Daphnia pulex: one gene and its partners. The protein of the gene in region 2 interacts with the protein of the main gene of each other region in a biochemical or structural test. Links are inferred from orthologs where the notes say so. Each region holds a gene or a part of one and is shown on either strand. Other genes may lie near its edges.

What was found.
Region 1: of the proteins of sterol regulatory element-binding protein 1-like (region 2) and NAD-dependent protein deacetylase sirtuin-1-like, one has a biochemical effect on the other in vitro, tested with the Homo sapiens proteins (2 studies listed by BioGRID, with this or other methods). The link is inferred for Daphnia pulex from reciprocal best matches to the Homo sapiens genes SREBF1 and SIRT1.
Region 3: the proteins of sterol regulatory element-binding protein 1-like (region 2) and F-box/WD repeat-containing protein 7-like form a complex in vitro, tested with the Homo sapiens proteins (3 studies listed by BioGRID, with this or other methods). The link is inferred for Daphnia pulex from reciprocal best matches to the Homo sapiens genes SREBF1 and FBXW7.
Region 4: the proteins of sterol regulatory element-binding protein 1-like (region 2) and mediator of RNA polymerase II transcription subunit 23-like form a complex in vitro, tested with the Homo sapiens proteins (2 studies listed by BioGRID). The link is inferred for Daphnia pulex from reciprocal best matches to the Homo sapiens genes SREBF1 and MED23.

Annotation. Positions count from the first base shown.
Region 1 is NC_060021.1:10,714,580-10,719,091, forward strand, and holds the start of NAD-dependent protein deacetylase sirtuin-1-like, read right to left. Parts: upstream 2,860-4,512; 5' UTR 2,774-2,859; coding exon 2,671-2,773; intron 2,338-2,670; coding exon 2,214-2,337; intron 2,141-2,213; coding exon 1,879-2,140; intron 1,819-1,878; coding exon 1,696-1,818; intron 1,632-1,695; coding exon 1,438-1,631; intron 1,380-1,437; coding exon 961-1,379; intron 891-960; coding exon 773-890; intron 709-772; coding exon 437-708; intron 373-436; coding exon 182-372; 3' UTR 1-181. Other genes in the region: neuropeptide FF receptor 2-like, read left to right, coding at 3,625-3,897, 3,959-3,989, 4,053-4,231, 4,316-4,459. UniProt on the Homo sapiens protein: NAD-dependent protein deacetylase that links transcriptional regulation directly to intracellular energetics and participates in the coordination of several separated cellular functions such as cell cycle, response to DNA damage, metabolism, apoptosis and autophagy.
Region 2 is NC_060018.1:511,742-516,275, reverse strand, and holds the start of sterol regulatory element-binding protein 1-like, read right to left. Parts: upstream 2,870-4,534; 5' UTR 2,745-2,869; exon of another isoform or gene 2,639-2,744; 5' UTR 2,593-2,638; coding exon 2,529-2,592; intron 2,462-2,528; coding exon 2,379-2,461; intron 2,310-2,378; coding exon 1,752-2,309; intron 1,691-1,751; coding exon 1,548-1,690; intron 1,488-1,547; coding exon 1,376-1,487; intron 1,312-1,375; coding exon 1,107-1,311; intron 1,042-1,106; coding exon 854-1,041; intron 767-853; coding exon 471-766; intron 354-470; coding exon 5-353; intron 1-4.
Region 3 is NC_060019.1:12,536,087-12,540,370, reverse strand, and holds the start of F-box/WD repeat-containing protein 7-like, read right to left. Parts: upstream 3,076-4,284; 5' UTR 2,698-3,075; intron 2,613-2,697; 5' UTR 2,484-2,612; coding exon 2,316-2,483; intron 2,249-2,315; coding exon 2,100-2,248; intron 1,941-2,099; coding exon 1,583-1,940; intron 1,519-1,582; coding exon 1,333-1,518; intron 1,268-1,332; coding exon 869-1,267; intron 802-868; coding exon 622-801; intron 524-621; coding exon 342-523; intron 265-341; coding exon 39-264; intron 1-38. UniProt on the Homo sapiens protein: Substrate recognition component of a SCF (SKP1-CUL1-F-box protein) E3 ubiquitin-protein ligase complex which mediates the ubiquitination and subsequent proteasomal degradation of target proteins.
Region 4 is NC_060019.1:10,887,554-10,891,946, reverse strand, and holds the start of mediator of RNA polymerase II transcription subunit 23-like, read left to right. Parts: upstream 1-1,324; 5' UTR 1,325-1,421; intron 1,422-1,591; 5' UTR 1,592-1,679; intron 1,680-1,902; 5' UTR 1,903-2,123; intron 2,124-4,393. UniProt on the Homo sapiens protein: Required for transcriptional activation subsequent to the assembly of the pre-initiation complex. Component of the Mediator complex, a coactivator involved in the regulated transcription of nearly all RNA polymerase II-dependent genes.

The DNA of each region.
Region 1 (4,512 bases), on a different chromosome or scaffold from region 2:
ATTTCACAGAAAAATGAAAATTCCACTTCCCCTTATCCATAATACAGGAAAAAAAAGAAATACTAAATACCATCGAGAGATTTCGTCTATATACACACGCTTGAAGCTTTTAAATAGAATCCATATTGTTAACATAACAATGGTAAAAACAGAAGCTTTGTCGTTGCTTCGGAATACGTCGTCAATCCATCGCTTTCCTTTTTACTCCATGCTCCGGGAAAGGTTGAGTTGAATCTCCTCCATCAATTCCAGACGAATCGCTGGAATCAGAGGATGAGTCAGAATCGGACTCTACCTCTTCGTCTGGGTCATAGAAGAGTTCAGCACCAGGAAACAGGTATCGACCAGGTTGGACGGTGAGATAAGTGTTTTCTGAATTTTATGCAAGGAAATGCATATAGATGACATAGACAACAACCGAACAAAAATAAATTACCTGGGAGTTGATCGGCAAGATTCACTTTGATTCGCGGCTCCCACCATCCGGTCATGTCATGAGTAACTGGTTCAACATCACCAGACTCGGCTGATTCCATTTCTAAGCTTCCTGTAGACATCCCACTGTCCCGGCGTAAAGGATCGTCTTGATCTCTTTTGGGGAAAATGGGTGCAGGTACGGCGACAGAAGGAGTGGGGCGTGGTGGTAGGCGACTGATCTCTGTTAGAGGTTCGCGGTAACAAATGTCATCTTTCCATTGTGTACCCAGTCTGATTGTTACAAGAAGATTGATGAGACAACAAATTTGGCTGATGAAAATTACTGTATACTAACAAATGACACAGTTGGTTGACGATAATATCGCAGTCCCCAAGCAGTTCAACATCAAAGACCATGTGGCGGAGAGGTTCGCGATTGATAAGAATTTGCGGAACATGATTCGGTAGGGCGCCTATTTGAATCAAGAGAAACTTATTGCATATGAACTTTAAGGTTACAAGATGACATTTAAAATAACTTACATGGGATGAGTGCGACAGGGCGGACTTTGAGCGATGACCCAATCACGATTATCAGGTCACATTCTTCTTTATCGAGTACCATAGCGCGGTGAAATTCGTCTGGCATTCCTTCTCCAAAGAAAACAATGTCAGGCTTCATGATCGGCTGGGCCGATAATGCCACCGACGACGATGTACTGGCCTCGTCTTCATTTTTCGACACATCCGAGCATTTCGGACAAAGTGGAATGCGTTGTTCCATTATGTCTTTTTCTATCTCGTTCGAGGGGACGCGATGTTGGCAGCGCAGGCAAGTGGCAGTAGCAAACGAGCCATGACATTGGATAACCCTTTCGATATCTGCTTGTTGTTCTAGTGTATCTATGTTTTGCGTGTAGTTGCGCAAAAGCTTGTTTTGTTTCTCTAGCAAACGAATGAACCTAAACAAAATATCGTTTCATTAGCGAAATTTCAAAATTGTCAAGAGAATTTGTTTACTTGTGGCATTTAGAAGGTGTAAACTGTCCTGGCCAAAGGTCTCGGGCGAATTTAAAGAACGGTCGGGGATCTTTTCGGAAGTAATGGATATCAAACATAGCTTGAGGATCGGGCAAGTCAGGGAAGTCGACGGCTAAGCGAGCGTAAATTCCATCACGGCTACGAAAGTCGGGAATACCACAGGAAACAGAAACCTAAACAAAATTTGTTCAAATATAATGAGGTAAATTATTTTATAAAAAAAAAAAAAAAAATTACCCCTGCTCCTGTAAGAACTAGAATCTTTTTACAGCTACGGAGTAATCTGACGGCATCGGATATTGCATTTATGTGGCGTAAACGTTCCCGCCTTGGAGGTTCACTGACAATATTCACGATTATCTGTTTTATTCAATAATTATGATTAGTTGCCTTGACAATGCTACAAATTTATAATTTTACCTTCCAAAGGGTGACATCGTCAAGATGGGTGGGGATTTGAGCATCATTTGGTACCAACTCATTCAGGATGGTTCGAGGATTGGTACCAAGAAGCATCTGTTGTTGCACCCAAGACATCGTCCCTGATGATGGCTCCCAGTCATGATTGCTCAAGTCACTCAACCCACTTATGTCTGAAACATCACTATCTGAGGAGGTATCATCATCTTTCTCCAAATTGCCCATTGAATCATCAGCATCTTGAATGGCTGGCAAAGCATAGCTACAAATAAATAAATAATAAAGTTAGACCATATGTTTGTACACAATAAAAAGAAGACATTAGTCCACATTACCTGGTAGATGGTAAATCATTAGTGAGATTTTCATCCTCGCTGCTGGCTAAAGACGTTAACTCGCTGAAGCCTGAATCCCCAGCGTTGAACATTTCACAGCTTCCTAGTTGTCCTGCATCATTTGCTGAAATTTAAAAAAAAAAAAAAAATATTTCAAGTAAGCTCACAATGGATCAACTCTACAGCCATCAAGAAATTTCAACTCAAGAAACCAAAACAGTATTTGACAAGTGTCATCACACTGTTATGACATTCAAACATGCCGCCCCAAAATTTTGGCAACGCAGCAATCGACCAAAAAGAAGGGCGTCTCCCCTCCCCCCCCCCCATCCGCCAATGGCCGCACTAACGAAGCAAAAGGCCATTTACCTCAAAACCGAATGCAATCTTTTGCTAACAATTTTGATTAGGTTCACAAGTACATTAAATGAATGAAATCGATCAAACGGGTACTTACAAAGCTGTTGGCCCTCAATAAAGGACTGTGAGATGTCAATCGGCAGCAAAGTTCTGCTTCGTTTTACGGGACTGTGAAAGTTCTCGCCTTGTTCGTCGGCCATTGCTTCGTCTTCCGTCGATCGTGGGGTAGAGGGCGCTTCTTCTTCTTCACAAATTTCGGGCCGCCAGGTGGCAGGTCAGCGTTGCCAGTATGAATCGAATTCGTCCCGAAACCGGAAGAAAATATGCGCAAGGACATGTATACATGAAATAGGAAGGGAATTAATTCAAGGCCTTTCCTTGTCGAGCTTTTATATCAACCTTAGTCCACTTTCCGCACGTTGCGGTTCAGATAAGGCATTGTGATTTTCGCATAAGGAGGAAAGCTGCTGATTATAATTTTTTTTTTAATAGGAGGTTTATCAGAAATGCAGTATCACCAAATTAAACTGAGAAAAAAATTAGTTCAAGATGTACTAAACATCACGAATGAGGTTACGCGATATCGGGAAAATAATTCACGTATGGCATTTGTACTAGAGAAGCGACCCCGAGGTTTGACTGACTTATAATATTCGTGGACCATAAAACCAAATCGCATAGGGGTGAGCCGGCCCGCGGTGCGTTATACCCCCAAAAGTTGTAAAACATGGTCTAGCGATTTGACGAACTTAATTAAATCTGATAGGCATAGCACACGGGGCCGCCCGATATGGCCGCTCTTGTTTGAAAGCGTGCGTCACAACAATTGCGCTGAGTGTGTGTGAGGATTATTAGTGCTGCGGGATCCGGTAAGTACTTGACTCCAGTCGAGAACGATCAGGCTTGATAAACAACAGCAGAGCTCAGTTGCTGGATTTACCTTCCGACAAGCAAGGAATTACTACTTTTTTCAATGTAAGTGAATTCATTGTTTTCCCACACGTAATAACCGAACTCAAGTCGTTCGTGCGAATTTCAGACTTTCACAGGAATGGATTTTTCAAACGTCAACTTCCCATTTCCTTTGTGGATTGTCCGTCCCACCTGGGAGTGCGCCTTGAAAATCGGATTCTTCGTTCCTGTCATTATCATCAGTCTGCTTGGAAACGGTTTGGTGGTTTACCTCATGGCCACCAATCGATTTTTGCGCACTTCCATCAACATCTTCATTTGGAATTTGGCCATCGCCGATCTTTTAACTATCCTACTCATCCCGTGGATAATTTTAATCATCGATCTCTACCAGATGTTCATTCTCGGAGAGGTTTCAAAACCAGTCAGTTTTATTATCAAATAATTATAATTTCCATTACATTTTTGGGAAGGTTATTTGTCGAACCGAGGGATTTTTAAGAGGTAATTCAAAGCTTCATTTTAAAAAAAAAACTGGCAAGTAATTCATATATTTCAAATCAAAAGTGATGCTGATGTTGGTGGACGTCTTCAGCTTGCTGGCCGTAAGCTTTGATCGTTTCTTTGCCATCGCATTTCCATTCCGCCCGCGGATGGGCCAATCGGCAGCCTACATTATTTGCGGAGTCATCTGGATCCTTTCAGCGGCCATCGCCTCTCCACTCATCGCAGCCCGCGTCTATAAAGTACGACCAAGAAGCATTTTAAATTGATCAGAATTATTTAGGGTGTTATATCATCTGCCGCCGCCAATTTGACTCAACACACAGGAACGACAATGGAAGGATATATTGGAGTCCTGGTGCATCGACAACACTTCCTTCTCTTTCGTGTACTACATCTCCCTCGACGCTATTCTCGTCTGGTTTCCCCTCATCGTCATGACTGTTCTATTCATTTTCATCTTCATTATTGTATGTAATCAGCTTCTTTTACATCCTCTTGATTGGTTAAAACGGCAGCAGGT
Region 2 (4,534 bases):
GAACCTGCATGGTAAAAGCCAAAGGATCAGACTTGTTGCCCAGAGAGGTGAACAAAGTCGAGGGGAAATCGTCGTACTCCCAATGATGACTGAGGAAGAAACGATAGCCGGCCGGACTGCAGAGCCACTGCAGACGGGGAGGGGCGTTGCCGTTGAGAGCCTGACAGATTTGGCGAGCGCGGGCTAAATAGAAGCGAGCGCACAAGAAACCTCGCCCACTAAACGAGTGTTTCGTTCGTAGCGCCAGATGAATGTAAATATCCGCCTTGGACATGGCACTCAGTGCAGGGCCGGCAGCTTCGCCGAGATTTGTAGCAGACAGGGCTAAAGCCAAGCCACGATAGCGCTCGAACCTTAAAAAAGATTAATAACAAATAAATAACAAATACACACAGGCACGAGTCCGTCCAATCGTTAGTTTTTATCTCTCTGTTATCAATTTAAACTCAAAAATCAAAAGATCGAATTACCAGTAGTGGCTGTTGGGATCAATGACGTCCTGCTGACTAAGATGCAGCTGGTGAAGTTTGTGAAAACAAAGGGCGGCTTCCGCTAGAAACTCACGGGCCACTCGGCGTTCATCGCGATTCAGGAAAAGTTTGCCAACACGGCCGCTGAGAAAGCGGGTAAATCCGAAGCGATGCAACAGCTGACGCCAACAATTCCATCCGACGCTAGCCACAACATCGACTTTAGATACGGGCACTGTCCGACCTAAGGCGCAAAGGGCTTGTCGGTAGTGAGTGGCTGCAGTTACGTAGTTTCCCTGAATTTAACGAGACAATAGTACCAGAGAGGGGAAAGTTTAGTTTGGGAATACCGACCACAAACAACGAGCCTAAATAGCTTTTACATTGTTCATGTCGCAATCAGCTTGTTTCCTCTGTCTCCAGTAGAGCGAAGCCGCTTTGCTCTGGCGTTCAATGTACGGCTCTCCATGAACAAGAGTGCGGAGGAGGACAAAGAGGAAAACCAAAATGTTAATCCCAACAGCGGCAAATGAGAGGAACCATCCAGAATCATCTCCGAGATCGAGGGGATCTGAAACCAAATGAATACATTTTGATTGCATGTCATGATAGCAATTCAAGTAACAAAACGTTTACCAGCTTCCAGGATAACACGACCGGACGGTTTGCTGTAATGGGAGACGGCAGAGTCTGCATGCGACAGGAACTTGCCGAACGGATTAAATGCGAACACGGCCAGCATCATCATGCAAAGGGCAATACGCGAACGATCCAGCATCGATTGAGCAATAACGTTTCCGGGCGATACCATGTTTCCGTCAATGGTAAACTCGTCGTCAGACTGCACGGAAATTGAAGCAATTAAAACCATCAATCAATTTAAAAAATTAAAATCTGTCGCTTACCGAAGCCGCATAAGTTAAAGGAGATCCGCTACCAAAACTGCTGGGTGGCGATTCGGCCGACGTCGAATTTTCCAGCGATCCTGGAGGTGTAATGTCAATTGGAGGACTATCCCTGCATTCGAACGATAAACCTTTAGCTTTTATACCGACAATATAAAACAAGTATATTTACATCGAAGCTGTCAATAAACCATTGACAGTTTGCTTTTGAGATGCCATTTTTAGAGCCATATTTTCCTTGATTAGCTTTTGATTCATTTGCTGGAGGTAGCGCACATATTCCAGAGCTTTCCTAAGGATGGCAGACTTGCTCATCTATGGACAATAAGATAAATTAAATAAAAAAATCTTTCAGTCGAGTTACAACCAGTCACACCTTAGCTTCTTCACCAGCAATTAGGTTTTTTAATTCCAGTATCTTGTCATTGATGCTGTTTCTGTATCTTCTTTCAATGGCATTGTGGGAACTCTTCTTAATGACAGGTGGCCCATGAGTTGGGCTTGGTGGATTAGAATTGCCATTAAACATGTTTGCTGATCCTAAAACAGCAGATTGGTTGACGTTGACGAGACCGCCATTTGGTTGAACAGTGACAACACTATTATAGCCAAAAGTGTTGCCAAGAATCAAGACACCCAGGGAATTTGTATCCACTCGAATAGGAGTGCCAACAGTGCCCTGCGGATTGGTTTTGTTTACCAATACAGTCTGGGCTGGCTGGATGTGTTGGGGGACACTTTTTGTCTGTATCGGAGCTTGTTTCAATACAGGCTGAGGTGATATTGTTGGTACAATTTTTGTCACTGGAACTGTCTGAATCAATCTTTGTTGAATTGGTTTAACTTCGACAACAGAAACTGGAATGATGGGAGGTTGGGTTGCCACAGGAGGAGGATGGAGAACGGCAGGTTTCTGTTGGTGAAAGTTGTGAGCCTTAATGTTCAAAACATCACATTAAAACAAATATGATTAGACAAATTTCAAAACTTTTTAAAAACTTACTGGTGGAGAGACAGGGCCAAAAGATGAAAACAAATCTTCTCCAGCCAAATCGATAAGTTCGGAATCCTCATGAGGAAACAACTCTGTATAGATGGACAAACGTTTTAGTATTTGTTATCAACAGACATCAAAAGATACTTTTTTTATTACCTCCTAAATCAGTAGGAAAGTTCAATTCCAAATCCATATCATCGGCGCGATTTGACGTATCCATGGCAGGAAACAACAATAACAGTCTTCAGTGTGTGGGTAATCACCTACTAAAAAACATGACGTGTATTCGATTGGAAAACCGAGAAGAAGACTGACGATTTTGTATTCTGGAATTTACGAAAACACAAATACTAAAGGTTTTGTAGCGCGTACTATTCGGTCAACGACGTTAACTATTGCAGCATGCAGACAGTAAGAGGTGGAGCTTCAAATCACGCCAGTTCCTGGCCGTCCAATGACAGAAGAAAAACATCGTATGATCGCCCGAGCGACGTTGCCTATGTTTGCTATTATTTTTCGAAATAAAATTTTGCCCGCAGCAGCCAAAGAGGAAAAAGAGAGATCTTAACAATTTTTCACTTGTTTGCCCTCTCGCAATGTGGGCCGAGTTGTTAGCATTTGAATTTTCAAAGAATGTTTTAAAATACTCGCTGACGTAAAAGAAACCGAGGGGGGAAATTGTTGTATTACCTCTCGAGGCAAACGCTTGTCTATTTTCGACCGAATTGAAGGATTCAGATGTTGTTTTTCCAACTGCCGACATAACAAAAAACACACACATTGTGTTCGGGACGTATTTGGGAATCGGAAGAGCCTTGGTCGGTTGCAACGTACGGTGATCTATTTCGGGCCGACTGCGACCGACGATGCGAGCTGGGCGCATCATTTCGCATTCCCAGTGCATACAAAAGAACATTTACTCACAATACACAAATAAAATAATAAACAGGAAATCACAGATCTAAACTGTGTTAACGCAAAACTCGTTTGTCGAGCGAAATTCGTCGACTCGCGTGAAGGAAGACGCCAGACGAAGAGTCGTCCCACCAAATGTCACGAGAAGAAAACTAATTCGATCCGTTGAACCGGAGAACTGTACTCGTCGCCCGATTGACGTTCATTCGTTGAACCGGTCCCGACTCTTGTCCCGACTGCTATCCAATTACCAAACTCGAGCGAAGAAAACAACAGGAAAAAAGAGACGTCGTTTTCTTCTTCTTCCTTCTCTCCCGTTTCCGTCGACGGGTTGCAGCAACAGCCAGAGTTTCATAGAGACAAAAACTTTCCATGTGCACCCACACTTTCGCGTGTGTGTGTGTATACAAGTACAGAATTACGGTGTATACACTACGGGGGGTAGTAGTAGCAGTAGCAGTAAGCGAACTTGACGGGGGAGGAATCAGTCGTGCGCACCTTTCAAATATCAACGGGATATGAGGAGGAGGAGGATATCCACAGCAAGTTTGACGACGGTAATTAAGAAATGAGACTTTTTGTGTTGCGCAGGAAACACGGTGGCGTGCTAAAGATTTCCATTTCGCTTCGTTTCCTTCATTTAATAATCTCATTCTCAAACTTTAACGTTTAAAACGAAAAAAGGCGCTTGAACGGGAAAAGCGCATTTCGGACTATCTAGTCGGATTTTTGTAACCAACATTCCATCGGGATTTTCGACAGTCCGGAGAAAAAAAGTGCAAAGGCCAAGTCACATCTTCTGATGGATCGCATCATCAGGGGATAATAATGCCGCGCGGAATGGCAATTGTTTTGATGGATGCCGGAATGTGCGGTGGCCGAGGGCCAAGTCGATTGTTCGTTCGACGACGATTCAAATTATTGGCGAGAGGAACATCTAGTAAAGCGAGTCGACAAATGTCTTGATCATGACGACGCCGGGCTATATTTAGGTTATTAATCATCCAACGGGAAAATGGGGCGACGGTCCGTGAGTCGTGACGGACGACAGACTCCATTTGTTTTTTTGTTTCCTTCCCACCTACGTACTTCTGCGGTGGTGGTGGAAAATGCCAAGCAGAAGAATGCAATGTACTGTACTGTATAATGATTAACGTTCCAATCAGAATTGATCAACAGCAGCAGCAATAGAACGGGCGAAGATGATGGATAAAAACGTACGTGCGCACAAATAGTAGGTCCAGCAC
Region 3 (4,284 bases), on a different chromosome or scaffold from region 2:
AGTACGACAGAATCAAAATGGTGGCATTTTCCAATTACCTGTAGTGAGTAAACCCGATTAGTGTGTCCCTGAAGAGTATGGAGACATTCCTCTCTTTCAGGATCCCACACTTTCACTGTATAGTCGTAGGCTCCACTAACCACCAGACGCCCGTCATATTGCACACATCGTACGGCAGCGACGTGACCAACAAGAACATGTAAACATTCGCCCGTCTCAACATCCCATACACGTAACGTTGCATCCCGTGACCCGCTCACCACCCTACATTCATTTTTGATCAAGGAAAACAGTTGAATTAGTAAGAGTGCTTGCTACAAATATCTGATAAAAAGACTGACTTATTTCCGTGTAAATGCATGCAACGGACAGTGGAGGTGTGGCCGTATAATGTGTGCAAACACTGTCCAGACTCAGCGTTCCAGACTTTTAAGGTTCTGTCTGTACTCCCGCTGACTATAATATTTCCCTGCATTTGAGAGGACCAAACGCCTCCCGTATGTCCCTGCAGAGTCCTCATGCACTGTTGAGTGAAATGACAATTAAATGGTTGTCTGTTCTTAAGACATTTCGCGTTTTTAAAGTCTTTGTCCTGTCTAGGCAGAAAGCCCAATGAATTACCTTTCCCGTAGTAGCCGACCAGACTTTGAGCGTGTTGTCATCCGATCCCGAAACGATGCGGTTTCCGCAAAACTGTAAGCAGGTGATGACGTGATCGTCATGACCTTTCAATACCCTTGGCTGTGGGATCGGCCTCACTCGCCAATTCAACTCAATATTTCGGTGACGCATATAAGTCGCCTGAAAATGCAACGAATCAATATTATCTTGCAACCTATTAACGTTTAAGCCAGATTGATCTATTCACCTTCCAGGGTGACGGAGTAATAATTGGTGCATTGTTTTGGCTAGATCCGGTGGGGGAAGAAAGACCACAACTGAGAGATGAGTGGTGGGAAGATCCGCGAAGACGTCGCTTATTTAGAGTATCACGAACGTCATCGATACCCGCTTCACGACATTTTTCTCGCCAGAGGAGATTATCTTCAGCCAAGACTCTCCAACAACGGCAGGTTTGTGCGGCGCGAGTCAAGTCGCGAGGCGTGAGGAAACTGAGAACATACAGAGCCAGTTCTTTGGGCAGCAGCGATATGAAATCGCGTTGGAACTGTGGTTCAATAACAGCCATCATGTGACGGACCTGAGTGGGTTCACACAGCTCTATCAGTTGGTCAATGGCACATAAACGCTCAGCGTTCGACCAGTACTGCAATGATAACAAATGGTTTTTCTTAGCAATGAGTTAGTGGTTGAGAGAATGACGAAAAATACTTGGAACGTGTGAAGCCACTGGCAAAATCCTGGCGGAGGATTGTCTTTCGAGGGAATCGGATTACGGTGAACATGGCAGTAGATTGACGAGGAAGATGAATCAACACCTTCACCCCTTCGACATGTTTTTTTCTCCGTGGCTACTTCAGCTGCCATCTCAGCTGTCGACTCCGACTTGCGCTTGGTCTACAACACACCACCTTAATTAAATTCATGTTCTTAATAACAAATAAGTGTTGGATAAACTTACAGCTCCTGGTCTGGCGACGTCATCATTCTCCGAGGTGGGTGATTCCTCTTTAACGGATACATTGCTGGCGTCGTTGGCAGGAGCAGTAGGTGTCGATGATGTAGGTGTTGTGGGGAGAGGAGGAGGCGATTGAATGATGCTATCGTTGCTCCGAGTCTGTCGAAGCGAAGGCGATTTGCCAACGGGCAGTGGATTTATTCTGCTTGTTGACCGGCGCTGCCTCAAACGGCAAGCACCCCATTCGTTGCTGCTGCTACTTCCACTGTCGTTTTGCTGGTCTTCTGTCGCGTTATCACTTGAACTAGATATCACTGGTGTGGTGCTCGGAGTCGGTTGAGCGCTTGTATTATCACTGCTTCTAGGGCAACAACAAAACATGTTTAGAATCAAATGACGCATTTTTGCCTAATCCAAAGAACAAAGGCTTAGATAAGAGTAACAATAAAGAAATATACCTACACTAATAGCAAAACCATGAGAAGGGGGTATAAATTTAGTATTGTATAACACTATTTACCTGCTCCGAGTGTTGGCTTTTCTTGCATTCACCTGAGACGACTGAGCTGGTACTGATATTGTTAGTATCTGACGATTGGCTTCAATCAAATTTGTCCCCACACCTGGAGCCAGACTTAGATCTTCGATGGATGTAAATCCTCCAAGGGACTACAAAGGAAAAACACATGTCAAAACCATATAAAACACACTGGTGTTGGGTTAATCCTAAACTTACATTTCTGGTTTCCACAATGGCTTCAGCTCTGCTGCGTCCAACTCCAACCAAGGTGGAAAGCTCTTCAACAGTAGCCACATTGATGTCTACCAGGTTTCTCTGAGCTAGACTTTCATTAGCAGTGTCGCCCATGCCCCTCCCACTACTCCGTCCTCTGGACGCTGGCATAAATTATTTCTGCTGGGTTTCTGACTGCTACGTAAGCTAGAGATTGAGAAGCTGAGCTATTACTAGGAAACCAAAACACAGCTGCCTAGACAACAACTCATATCCTCAATTAAACACTAGTCATCTCATCTGCCAAGAAAGAAGATTCAATGTTGTTAATAAAGGTTTCTTTTTATAACAATAATGAAACAAAGCAAGAATGATTCACACTTACCGTCGATAAAAATCCAGTGAAAAGTGCAGCGAAAATTATAATGGCGTTACGAGTCAAAAAGTGCAATCAAAATAAAAGTAGAATCTTTTTAATGATATGGGCGAGGGCTTGATAGTGTGTAGTGTTTTGGGAACAAGGGCAGACCTTTAAAATGCGATTTTGAAAATATTCCGCAAGCACGGGTGGGCAAAAACAACTTAATCAAATAAAGGATTTAAAATAGAAAAAATCTAGCACTAAAATGATTCGGGCATTTCGATTTCACAAAGAGCGTAAATATAGAAAAAAATTTGTACACGAGGATCAGCATCAAAGAGAATTTTGTTTCACACGAATGGTGAAGCCGAGACAGACAACGATATATGCTGGACTAAAAAGCGTTGCCAAATTGCTTGTTAACATTTCCCAGTTGCTGGACGCGCCCTGTGGTCGTCATCACATGCGCTTTTTTCTTTATTTCGCTTAGAATCTCGTAGCAAAACCCACTTGACACGTTTACAGTGTTACTATCGAATTTATAGTGGTAATTATTATCCTTTTTTAAACAACAAAGCTAGGCGGTTTTTTAAAGGCCAATACGTGGGCCTACCTCATTTCATCTTTCCCGCCTTTCTTTGTACATACATCCCCCACCCTTAATAATATTTTTGTATTGCATTACTATCAAAGAGTATTATATCATATTTTTTTTTAAGTTTCTAACTGTTCAGTTCTTGAAACTTCAACGGATCATCATCGCTATTCATCGTTCCCCCTCCTGAAATGTCCCCCTTGAATCTCTTCATACCATCAGCCCTTTACAGATCCAACTGAATTAAAGCCACAATTTCAATAACAATGGAAGTTTTGGTGCAAATTGTTTCTCAAGCATTTCAACTCTGTTGAAAACGTTACTGCGTAATGTTGAGTTCTAGTTCTCTCATACGGTTGGACGAAAGTTGAACCCGATTCAACCAATAGCCAGTTAAGTATTCATCCAACTAAATTGTGTATCTATATTTTTGTACACATTATAGCAGCTACGCAGTGTTAAAGGGCGCCCGAATCTTGCTTTTTCTAGCTATCGCTAGATGACTCGCGATGAATTATAAACGTTCGATATAAGAAATTCAAACTGCTACTTACGCGATATCTCGCAGGTTTTTTAAAAGTTGAAGGTTCGTCCTCATTAATAATATAATTGTAACAAATTTTCGTTTTTCTCTGATTGTTACAATATTCAATTCCGTTTATTGCCCCATGACATTCAAAATTTCTCGGATTCGGAGTGATAGCTGCTACCGTATTAGCATTAACTTTTCAAAAAGATCATTAGTAAGCGCAGCACAAAACATTCGGTGATCTTGTGTTGAATGTTGAATTCGCTCTTTCATCGGGCATTATCGTCGCTTCCCCAGTCATGAAAATAGGTCGCTCATTGAATTGCCAAGAAACTTTGATGCACATTTTGTGTGGGCATTGAGAAATCTATATATTTTTTAATAAACCAGCAATTGGTCTTTGACCGGTTCATTTAAGTGCAGAAGCACCGGATTGAAGAGGTGTGAGGTTAGGCGCGCCTATTTAAACAATGGAGTCGTCGTTGCA
Region 4 (4,393 bases), on a different chromosome or scaffold from region 2:
TTCCTCCCTCCAGCAAACGGTCCGTGACTGGAACTCTAGGCGCAAGCTTTGATGTTTATGGGCACTATCACGAAAAAACAGCCTGCGGCCTGCAGACTTCGAATTCGCCGCCTCCCAAAAGAAAATTTATTCTTCTATGTATTTGTGGTTTGTGTGGATGTCTATGTTGGCGTTCAATATTTGCTCAACCGAGCGAATCCTCAAAGCAATAGCAAGTTTGAATATATACCGGTAACCGCCAGTAACTGGTTTGCCTATACCAAGGTCGCAGGTGGGACGCAAGAACAGAGCAGCAGTTCACGCAGACATATGGTTCGAGCGTGAAGTAGAGTCGACCTTGGCAACAGATCGCGACATCAAATTCCTTGTTGGTCGTCGTTCCCGAACGATTTTCCTGGAGGTAAAAAATGCGTTGATTGCGAACGAAATCTCTTATTTGAGATCGAGAACTGGTTGTGAAAAATTGGAAACACCTTTTTTTGTTTCTTTCTTCCAGATTCTCAAAGTTTTCTTGAGAAGAAAAATCATTAAACGTGTGTTACAGCTGACATTTCGAAATTCTTCTCATCACGCCCTTGAAACTGCTGCTGCTGCGCTCGTATGCAGATGAAGTCGCGTGAAAGTTCGTGTTCAATGTCGAAGGGCCTTTTCAAATTTCTAGTTCTATTGGAGCTTTTTTGCACAAGTCCATGATGGGTATAAGATGTTACAGGATGACGAAATATCTTTAACGCTTGGGGTTAATTCATGCGTGATCGCAAATTTTTAAATTTCAGGCTTTTTTGACCGATAATTTATACGGTCTCAAAAAATGCCACAACAAGCTGAGCTTATTTCCCGAACGACATTTGAAGGATATAGCCTTTTACGTTGATAGTAGTATAATATCCTGGTATTTGTATGTAAAGATAAGAATTATTTTACACGGACGCAAGAAATGCTATTACAAGCGGAATTTTCCCGAACGACAGTTGAAGGATATAACCTTTTAAGTTCATGGTGGTATTATATCCTGGTATTTGTATGTATTATGTTTGTATATGTTTGTAAGATAAGAAGGAAATTATTCCTTCTTGGCAGTCATTTATCTGCGGGTTTCGTGTAAATATTGAATTTTTTTCTTGTCTGTGGTAGGGTTATTAGATCATTCTAAAATAATTCCGATCCCTTTAGCGGATGTCGAGTGCGGGTGGGAAAACCACTTTTATCGTATTTTGAGTGGGTGTTTTTTATATTTGTGGATTTTTTAAATAATTTATATCGATATTTTAAGAAATAAATGGCTAATTAGGAAGTTAGCGTCGTCTGCTGCTTTTGTTTTGTTTAGTTTCGAAATAAACGTGGTCGTGTCCACTCTGTGGTCACATCTCTTAGGCCTACTCTCTTTACAGAATCACTTCGTACACACGGCTGATTACCAGGTAAATAAAACTAAGAATACCTATAGAATGACTATAGAAACTGAATTTCGAAGAATTAAACCTTTTCCAAATTTTTTTAAATGTTAGTTCGTCCTGACCAGCATTTATCATTTAAGCCCCTCTGTCGATGCATGGCAGTTTGTTTGTTCACTATGTAACCTTTTCCTTAGTGCATATTTGAGGCCAGAGACAGCCATCAACAAGATATGATGTAACCATAGACCTGTCATCAGCAGCAATCTCAGCATCATCGCTTAGGTAATGATTTTCATTACACCTTACTTTTATTCGAGTGGTGTGTGACCTGCTAGATACTTTAATTGTGCAATGTAATGCAGGACTTGCAAAAATGCAGTGTATTACATGTAAACCGTCTGTTTATTAACAATCAAGTTTTACTCACTGTCTCATTTTAAACTATTCCTTGCTTGTTGTTTCTGCAGATATTTTTTCGTAACCCATTTCTTATTTTTTTAATTAGTTTAACAGCATCCCGTTTGGATTCTGGATTGAGAAACTATCGATGTTGGCCATGTTACGGGTCTCTTCTTCCCTTTTCTTTAAACGGCCTCGTGTATGCCCATGTGAGTGTGGGTGTATTCACGAGGCCGCCCTTTAATATCCTATTCAATTATTCTGCGGATGGATGGAGAGCACTTGTGGATGCCTGTCCCGCTGTCCGTATATTTCCCAGGCCTGAAGGTAGGAAAAATGTATTCCTATTCTTTATTTTTTGACTGTTTGTTGGTGTTAAATCGTGACATAGTAGCCTACGGAGTACGATTATTCCTGAGCTAGATGCGGTTAACTGGAGTAGGTTCTCTTGCGGTTTTTGTTTACTCACTATAACTCAGTAAGGGTTCATTTAGGCGAAGTTTTTGTTTACTCAGTAAGTAAGAGTTCATTAAATTTTAGTGTTGCAGAACGACTGCAGGTCAGACCCAGTTTTGTACCTTACAACTTTGTCTGTTGTTGGTTCACAAACCTCAAATAAAAAAATATTTGAACTTTAAACACTTCCAGCAAAGTGCAACTAGAATTTATTTTTTTTCCCAAGAGAAACCTGCTAGTTTTATCCAACAAATCCTGTTCGAGGAACCTTCCAGCATGACGGTTAAAGAAATTCGATGCACAACGCTGACGTCATTATTTTTCCCCGGTTTCGTTCGCCTCAGGAAAATTGCCTCCGTCAGCCACAATTTTTTTTTTATTCACTTGACGTCATCAACATTCATTGTTTGACGTCACACTTGTGCGTGAGTCGATGAGGGGCGCGCCAAAAACAATTAAGTGGTGGTTCTCTCAACGCCATTTCGCAACCACGGGTTTTTCCGGTCACGCTTATTGTCAATTTACCTCACACGTTGACACCCGCGTTATTGTCCTATTTTGAGTTGACAATTTTTTGTTCACATTGTTTCTCCTCTTCTTCGACGAAATTGTTCTCGGTAAAGTGACTTGCTAACTCGACATTTTACACTTTCACGTAAAACAACTTCAGGTGTTGTTTGGAAATAGGGCAGTATAAGTCGACTAATTTGCAAAGATACTATAATATATTGTTCACACAATAGAGATAGCGGATAGTCACACTTTTAGCAAATGTTGGCTAAACGCCTAAACCTATAATGATTGGCCTAATTTACCATTCCAGCACCGCCGCCTATTGTCAACCAGGCGGTGTACCATTCGTTCACAATGGGGAAAACATCTCGGCAGGTTTCACGACAATTTCTTTGATTTTATCTTCTAACTTTCTTCGAATTTGGGTTTCAGAATTTTCGAAAACAGTTAATTTATTGTATTTTTCCTTGTCGCCACATTTTTCTGCTTTGCTTTAATTGTACCGGTCATCAATCTTACAACAATACGACGTGTTGCAGCACATATGCGGCTCGGGAGATTCTACTTCCTCGAGTTCTTTGTGTCGGGATGTTGTCGTAGTGAATGAAGGCGAATAAAACTCCAAGGGCAAAAATCTTAAAAAGGAGTTTGGACTCTGTTAGGCACTTTGACACAGCGATAACCACCATATACGTAAATCTCATGACAAAGAAAAAGGTAGAACTCGATGAAAACCGGAAAAGGCGATGTGGCATTTGCTGAATATAGCTTTAAACTATTAACAAAAAAAACATCTTCCAGCCGACCGGTCTCAGACAAGTTTACATTAGCTTTTTCATTGACATTGACTTTAAAGGACCTTTGACACATTGCAGAGAAAACTAGGTGTGGCGTTTTGAAAATCGAAATATTGTACCGATTTGATTCACCGGATTCATTCGCAAATTAAATATTTAATCATTTTGTATCTTTTGCAAGCCGGAGCACTGCGAAATGCGAATACGAGGCTTAGAAAAATTAATTTGGCGTTCACACAAACACAGTTGCAATCGAAAGCAAATAAAGCATTGAAGGTGACCTTCGAAATAATGTTCGAATCGTTCGCGATGCGAATTTTTAAACACCTTTACAACATCCTCAAGCTTTCCGCTTTGAGGGCCGTCAGGTGAAGAATGATTTAGCATTCATTTCGGCGAGTGTCTATGTGCTTTAATAGCGTGATTCTCACATTGGATATCACGTAGGCACATTTCTGTTCGTCTGACTTGCCAGTCGAGTCATCGTGAAAGACAAATTTCCTTGCAGTTTTTATTTTGTATTCTTTGTTTGATTAATTAATGTCAGAAATAACGTTAATCATCTCCTTGTTCTTCAGAGTTATAAGGGGATTTTGGATTTTAATTTGAGAAAATATTTCCCGACATAAACTTTCTTATTTATCCATCCTTTATTTTTATATCTAGCCTAAAGGATGAGTCGCGCTCGGGGCTTGTTTTTAAGCTGATATAAATCACAATCACATTTGGGAGGACGTCGCTTTGGGCTACCATCCGCGCCTTTTACGTCGTTCTTTGTAACTTTTAGAAAGAAATTAAATTCAATGGAATTGTGCAAGGTCGTTAGGATAT